2 linked regions of the Caenorhabditis elegans genome follow. The protein of the gene in region 2 interacts with the protein of the main gene of each other region in a pairwise test. Each region holds a gene or a part of one and is shown on either strand. Other genes may lie near its edges.

Region 1 (3,339 bases), 5.6 Mb from region 2:
CATAAAGAATGAAAATCTGTTTTTTTTAATTGAAAATACCATGAAATTCAGTTAATTACAGAAAGCTCCAAAAATGATTGGAAAAAATTAAGCCGCCAGATGTCAAATGCTTTAACTTTTTTCAAAGAAGAGTTGATAACAAATTGTCAATAACAAAAACAAAGAAAACGTTATGACCTATATTTTGTATGTAGAAATTTTTTTTGCAAAACCTATTAGTTTTTGACTTATTCTCTTTTGGAAATTTTGAAAAATTATCAAGTTTTCCTACCTGCGCTTTTCAAACTTCAAAAAACTATGCAACTTGTCCTTCCAGTTTCTGAATTACGTTGTTGGCAAATAAGCTACCGTAACCCTGCACTTTGTACCCAATTCTTTCAACTGCTCAATGGACCTCGGAACCATATTGTTTACAATCACAACAACCACAACAAAACCCATAAACTTTGTGAAGACAACTCGAAAGTTTCGAAAATGTGCTTTACGTGAAGCCGACATGTGGTAGCCATTTGGGATTCATTTCACCGACCAAACTTCAATTCTTTCCATCTTTTCTAGAGAACAATCAATCGTTATTTGAATTAAAATACTTTATTTTGGGGGAAAATAATTGGAAAACCATATCATAATTATTACTTCTTAGTTGACGTATTGTCCGACGATGGCTTGAATCTTTTCGTCTGAAAATAATAAAATTATTGTTTGAATTAAACAATTTGAATGCTCAAAAATCTCAGAATTTTAAAACTCACTTTGGAAGAATCCAGTGAGGATTGGGAACTCAGCGGTGATGGTAGCCTTGGCGTCATCAGAAAGAGCCTTGTATTCAGCGATGTATCCCTTGGCGAGTTCCTTAAGAGAATCAAGAGTTGGCTTATCTCCGGCGAGGTATTGTTGGTGGAGTTCACGTCCCTTGGCGATGATCTTCTTGACAAGAGCCTGAGCGGTGGCATCGAGTTTCTCGAATTTAGCGGTGAGGAGAGCCTCGAGCTTTCCAGCCTTCTCGTAAAGGGATGGAGACTTTTCCTTGAGAGCAGCCTTGAATTCTTCCTCGGTCTTGTATTCCTTGTGGTTTTGGGCGAGTTCCTTAAGAGCAGCCTTCTCCTCAGCGGTGATGGCCTTGAGGTGCTCGGCAACTTCAGCTGGGATGAGTCCCTTGTACTCGGCTGGGATGTCGTCGAAGTTCTGTGGAACCTCTGGGATTGGGGCAGAGAAGACAGCCACGGAGGCAAGGGCTACGACGAGGAAGGCGCGGATCATTACTGCAATATTTTAAATTAGGGGTGGGAAATTTTAAGGTGAAATAGAAATAGAAGGTGATATCAAAGTTAAAGAACCAGTAAACTAGAAAAAAGAAACCATTTAGCAAAGTTTCGAAGTAGAAGATGAAGCTTTGAGCTGCTTCTGCTGTGCCGATTCTGCTCCGCCAGCCGATCTTTTATACGACCTTGGATGATGTATGTTTGAACCTCGTTTCATCAACGAAATAGTGCGTTGAACCATGAGAGTTCCGATGAAATATCACGTTCCCTTCGAGACGCAGACCTCATTTTTCCCTTATTTCTATTATAAAAAACCACTTTTAGTGTAATGAAGTTTAGGAAAAAATGTTTCTTTTTTCTATTTCTATTTCGATTCCCTTTGCTGCTGCTGATTCTTCGCAACTGCTCTATCTCACTGACTCCGCCCATTTGAATTGCTCATTTTCTGAGTCTCTCAAAGGACTACACTCTCGCTAGTTGATTGTAATTCTTCTGGGGTCACCATGTGGTCCGCCTCTTTTTGTTCGACTTTAAAAGATGCTCAGAACAATGGAAATCAACACTTCAGTCTCATTTCGCTTTCTTCTTCTTCTTATTCTTCTTCTTCTTCGTCACATCCCCGATTCTCATAATCTTTCAAATTTTCAGTAATGATCCGTGCCACTATCATCCTCGCCGCTGTCGCTGCCCTCGCCTTCTCTGCTCCAGTCCCGGAGGTCCCAGAGAACTATGACGATATCCCAGCTGAATACAAGTCCCTTATCCCAGCCGAGGTCTCCGAGCATCTTAAGTCCATCACCCCAGAAGAGAAGGCTATTCTTAAGGAGGTCGCCAAGGGATACAAGGACTTCAAGAGCGAGGATGATGTGAGTCTGAAAATTGAAAACTCTAGACCAATAATCAAAATATTAAATTGCAGTTCTTGAACGCCCTCAAGGAAAAGTCTCCAACTCTCCACGAGAAGGCCTCCAAGCTCCACCAAATCGTCAAGGACAAGGTCAACGCTCTCAATGATGAGGCTAAGGCTTTCGTCAAGAAGGCTATCGCTGAAGGACGTAAGATCCACGCTCAATACTTGGCCGGAGAGAAGCCATCCCTCGACACCCTCAAGACCACCGCCAAGACGTAAGTTTCGAGAAAATTACAAATTTCTCTGTCAGGATAACATTTCAGCCACATCGAAGCCTACAAGGGACTTTCCCAAGATGCCAAGGACTCCATCGCCAAGGAATTCCCAATCCTCACCGGATTCTTCAAGAGTGAGTTTAATAAACTTCTAATAATTTTCAATTTAATAATTATATTAATTTTCAGACGAGAAGGTTCAAGCCATGGTCGGACAATACCTCAACTAAATTTCCATTTCGCATTTTCTTTTTGTTTTTAATGTAATAAGCTTAATGGTTGGTTATTGGTTTTCTATAAACTTTGAATCGCAATAAAAACTTGATGCTTTCTGTAATGACTCATTAAATCAGTAGCAGTTGGTATCTCAAACAAATGATGCCCTCACAACAGTAGCATTCGGGCCTCTAAGATAAATTACTTTTAGTGAAAGAACTGATCGGAGACAATTGGAAAGATTTAACGGAGAAAAAAGTCTGCAAAGTCGATGCTTGAGACTTGTCAATTGGCCATTTAAAAAACTTGCACAGAAGTTGCTAGAGATTGGAATTTAAAAAAAACCTAAAAATCAAAGTCCCATCTTATTGCAAGCCTGTCAAAACTTATATTGTTTCAAGTACTCAAAATCAAATAGCATCCTTTCAATTAAGAAACATAACCATATTGATTTTAGGTACTTGGGATCAAATAGCGTTATTTCAGGTTCTAAACAGAGGAATTCACTGTGCTTTAAGGCAGTTGAAGCACTATCCATAATATCTGACATCCACCATCCAACGCTGAACGAGAATAAACGTTGATGCATCTTTGTTGTAGGACCCGAACGTTGACAATCCAGCAAAGAAGAGAATTCCGCCATCCATTCGATGAAGTGTCCAGCTTGTCCAAATGTTTTAAAATGACATAATGATGAAGTTGTTGAATTTATAAAATTATTGTTATCAAGATGTAC
Region 2 (3,755 bases):
TCCAGGAAATTATGGATAGCGGCAGTGATTCCAAGTTGTTCGGCAGTTCTGGAGATTACAGCCAATACAAATGGAATTGCGAGAAGAATCAGGGCTCCATCATGACGTACAACCCAAAGAAGAGCACAAAGACCGAAAACACAACGAATTAGCCAGTCTCCAGTGATAGCTTCGTCTACTGTTGATGTGGAGAGAAGGGAATTGTCGAGAAGCGATTGTTCTGTTGCGTCCACTGAAAATTAACATTATTAGAAATTAATAGAATAAAAAATTGAATTTTTACAGATTTCTAACATTAAAAAGATGCCGGCGGTCGTTTTGTAAGCCTGCGGCACAGTTTTTGGCCATTTTTCAGAATTTTTCCTGCAAAAAATTTTAAATAACTGATTTTTAGATAAAAAGTGGCTTTAAATAAGCTATTCTAGGCGTTTAATTCAAGAAAAATAAACCAAAATCAAGAATTCTGCCTAAAAATCAAGCGTAAATCTACACAAATCTTAAAGGGACATCGACTCATTTACGCGCGTGGTTTCGCAACGCTTCGGCTTTTTTGATCGAAAAATTCAAAAATTAATGTTTTTTTTCTACATTTTTGGCACTTTTAAATAGAAAAAAAGGGTTTTAAAATGCAAAAATAATGTTTTTCACCCGAAATTGCGGTTTCCTAGAAACTCACATTTTTCTTTCGCAGTTTCCAGAACTTTCTCCACGTTTGGAGGAAGAATGGATTCATCTAGATTTTCAGAAGAATTTTCTTTCTCAAGTAATTCTTCACTTGGTCTATGACCTCCAATTAATCCGGCTGATAACATTCCCAGGACAGCAGCTGAAACTCCAAAAACACCGGCTCTCAGAGGTCCGAAATACAGGGAAGCGTAGGAAATTACGTAGATCCTGGAATTTTTAACAAGAAATTAATTCATTGTTTTCATTTTTAAACTAGGAATTTTTACCAAATGGGAAGAGAAAATGATCTTGCAAGCTTCTTATTAATCTCTTTCGGGTTTTGAACATAAATCCAGGCGGCGTAGCAGCAGAAATAAACGATAATCAGTGGAAGAACCCAGGGTCTCGCAAAGAAAACAATGAAAGAATCCAAATATCCGTAGAGTCGTCCCATCCAGCTGATAATATACATAAAAGTTCTTTCATATGAAAGAATTTTCAACGCAGTATAGGCTATAACAATTATAGCTCCATTCGGGCTGGCGAAGGTTGTGTAGATTTTTTCAGAAATTTTGGAGAATCCGGTGAACGGGAGAGTAATCACTGATTTGGCGAGAGTTTGATTCGATTTTTGAAGATTTCTTAGCCAATCTGTAAAGTTTTTAATTTATTTGAAAGATTTTGAAATTAATTTAGCCAGAAAACTTACGCTGAACAGTATCTGCGACCTTCTTTTTGAACGGGAAAAGTACTGTACCAACGAGCACCGCCCAGAGCATTGGTGATAAAAACATGTACATCATGTTGTAGAGAGCAGCCAGACCACATAATGAGACTCCGAGCTGATAATTTTTAGATTTTATTTAATTTAATTGAATTTTAAAAATTAATTTTTAAAATTTAAAGCGTACCAAAACAAAAAGTAGCACATTATAAAACGCAAATTGAAGTGCTGTTCGTTGTTCACTGTCGCCGGCGCCAAAATAGCGCTCTATGCCTTCTGAGGACATCTGAAATATTGAAATCTTATAAAAAAATTTAAATAAAATGTGTTTTCTTAGATTTTTAAAGATAAAATTACCATGACGCAACGAAAAACGAGTGATCGGCAATAAAATCGATAACGAAAACGATAAATATCACTGAAAAAAACCCGAAATAAATAAAAATTATATAGAATTCTGTCCAACTTTGTTGTTTACTCTCTTTATTGTTTTCTTTTTTCTCAAAAAAAAAATTGCGCCACGAGAGAGTGTGTGAAATGGAGAGACGCGAGAGAAAAGTGTGCATACACCGAATGCTGACCGTAGTCGCTTTGAAAATTCAATTTTTATTTTGTATCAATTTTTTTCCTGATTTTTTCTCAATTTCACATGAAATTTACCTTTACTTTTTATTTTCAGCCAAAAAAATGTTGGGAAAAACGGCGTTGAGCACATTATGTGCATCAAGACAGGCTCCGATCACATTGGCCGCCCGTGGAATCGCCAATATTCCGGCTCACGAGTATCACATTCGATTCGATCAGAAAGTCGGACGGAAACGGCCGGCGCAAGATGTTTTAGACAGGTAACGCTATTTATTAGCTTATTAAAAAATTTAATTCAATAATTATTGATTTTTTGAACTTAAAAATGCGAAACTAATTTTTAAAACTGAAAATTTTCAGATTCAAACGTCTAAACAATGGAATGTGGATTCACGCGCATCCAGGACGTCATAAGCTGAGATATATGAAAGATGAAACGTGGCAGAAGACTAGTCTTTATTATGAGACCTGTACCAAGGTACAATTTTTCGGGTTTTTTTTTCAGGAATTAGAAAGCTAAATTCATCGTCAAATTCGTCAATTTCCCCAACTTTTTCATAAAATGATTCAATTTTCAGGAACAGTGCGAAATTCTCGACAAACTGATGACTCCATATTGGCTCCGTCCAAAGCATTATCCAAATGATCCATATTCTGCCTATAACGTCCGCCATAACGTCACCTCACCACGTGTCGATGATCGTGGAAATTTCGTTCGTGAGAGGAAGAAGGTGCTGATGGATGACTCGACGTCGAAACGTTTTTTTAAAGATTGTTGAAATTTTTTTGTTGGATTTTTTTTTGTTTTTAGGAATATAAAAATAGTTTATTATTCACAATTACAAAATATTATACATGAATAACTGTTGAAACATGTTTAAACAGTAATTAAAGCTTGCAAATTAGGAAAACAATTAGAATTTAGTATCAAAAGACATTGCAACAGAATTCCGATGCTTCCCTTCTTTACTCTCATCCAGAACTTTCTGAGCTTTCCTTCTCTCTTCTTTTGTCATGAATAACATCTCAACTTCATCAATTGAATATCCTTTTGTTTCTGGAACAAAGAAGAAAACGAATACAAGAGCAACCATGGTGCATCCACAATAAATGAAGAATGTTCCATATTTTGTTGCTGCCTGGGAAAGTGACAGGAATGTCAGTGAGACTATTAAATTAAATATCCAATTGCATGCAGTTGATACCGATACGGCTGTACTTCTCGCCCATAATGGATAAAATTCGGCGTTTAGAACCCATGGTAGCGGGGCGTAACCTGGAATTACGTGAATTGATGAATTATTAAGCATTTTGAAGTTTGAAGTTTTGAAGTGCAATCGCGCTCCAACGAACTATTTGGGTCTCGGTAGGAGTTGGAGGCAAAGCCGTAAATTCGTGCCTTATCTCTCATTTTGGCCGTTTTCAGGCATTTTTTCGATAACTTTTTTGTAAAAGCTAGTTTTAAAAATGTGTGAAATGCATTGAAAAATTTGAATTTCTCGGTTTTAGCGTTGGAGCGCATTTCCACTTTATCTTCGGTCTCGACACGACAAATTTATGTTAAATGCAAAAAAGGCGTGCGCCTTTAAAGAGTACTGTAGCTTCAAATTTTTGTTGATGTGGAATTTTCAATTTTTCCATTTTTTTTGTAGTTTTTCATAGTCTTTTAATAAAAACAAATACCATCGTCGAGTAAATAATTGAGTATGAAAAATCGTTAAAAATTCTACAGTACGCTTTAAAGGCGCACACCTTTTTGCGTTTAACACGAATTTGTCGC

Evidence for each region. The genes of interacting proteins can lie anywhere in the genome.
Region 1: the proteins of M01F1.4 (region 2) and far-2 interact in a two-hybrid assay, tested with the Caenorhabditis elegans proteins (one large-scale study listed by BioGRID).

The regions. Positions count from the first base shown.
Region 1 is NC_003281.10:9,079,751-9,083,089, reverse strand, and holds far-2 (Fatty-acid and retinol-binding protein 2), read right to left. Parts: upstream 1,263-3,339; 5' UTR 1,261-1,262; coding exon 753-1,260; intron 681-752; coding exon 640-680; 3' UTR 579-639; downstream 1-578. Other genes in the region: far-1 (Fatty-acid and retinol-binding protein 1), read left to right, coding at 1,913-2,128, 2,182-2,387, 2,436-2,521, 2,577-2,617. UniProt on the Caenorhabditis elegans protein: Probably binds lipids.
Region 2 is NC_003281.10:3,508,168-3,511,922, forward strand, and holds the start of M01F1.4 (Transmembrane protein 245), read right to left. Parts: upstream 1,867-3,755; 5' UTR 1,751-1,866; coding exon 1,748-1,750; intron 1,677-1,747; coding exon 1,578-1,676; intron 1,509-1,577; coding exon 1,376-1,508; intron 1,318-1,375; coding exon 954-1,317; intron 895-953; coding exon 677-894; intron 233-676; coding exon 1-232. Other genes in the region: mrpl-35 (Large ribosomal subunit protein bL35m), read left to right, coding at 2,078-2,235, 2,336-2,453, 2,554-2,754; Proton myo-inositol cotransporter hmit-1.3, read right to left, coding at 2,890-3,251.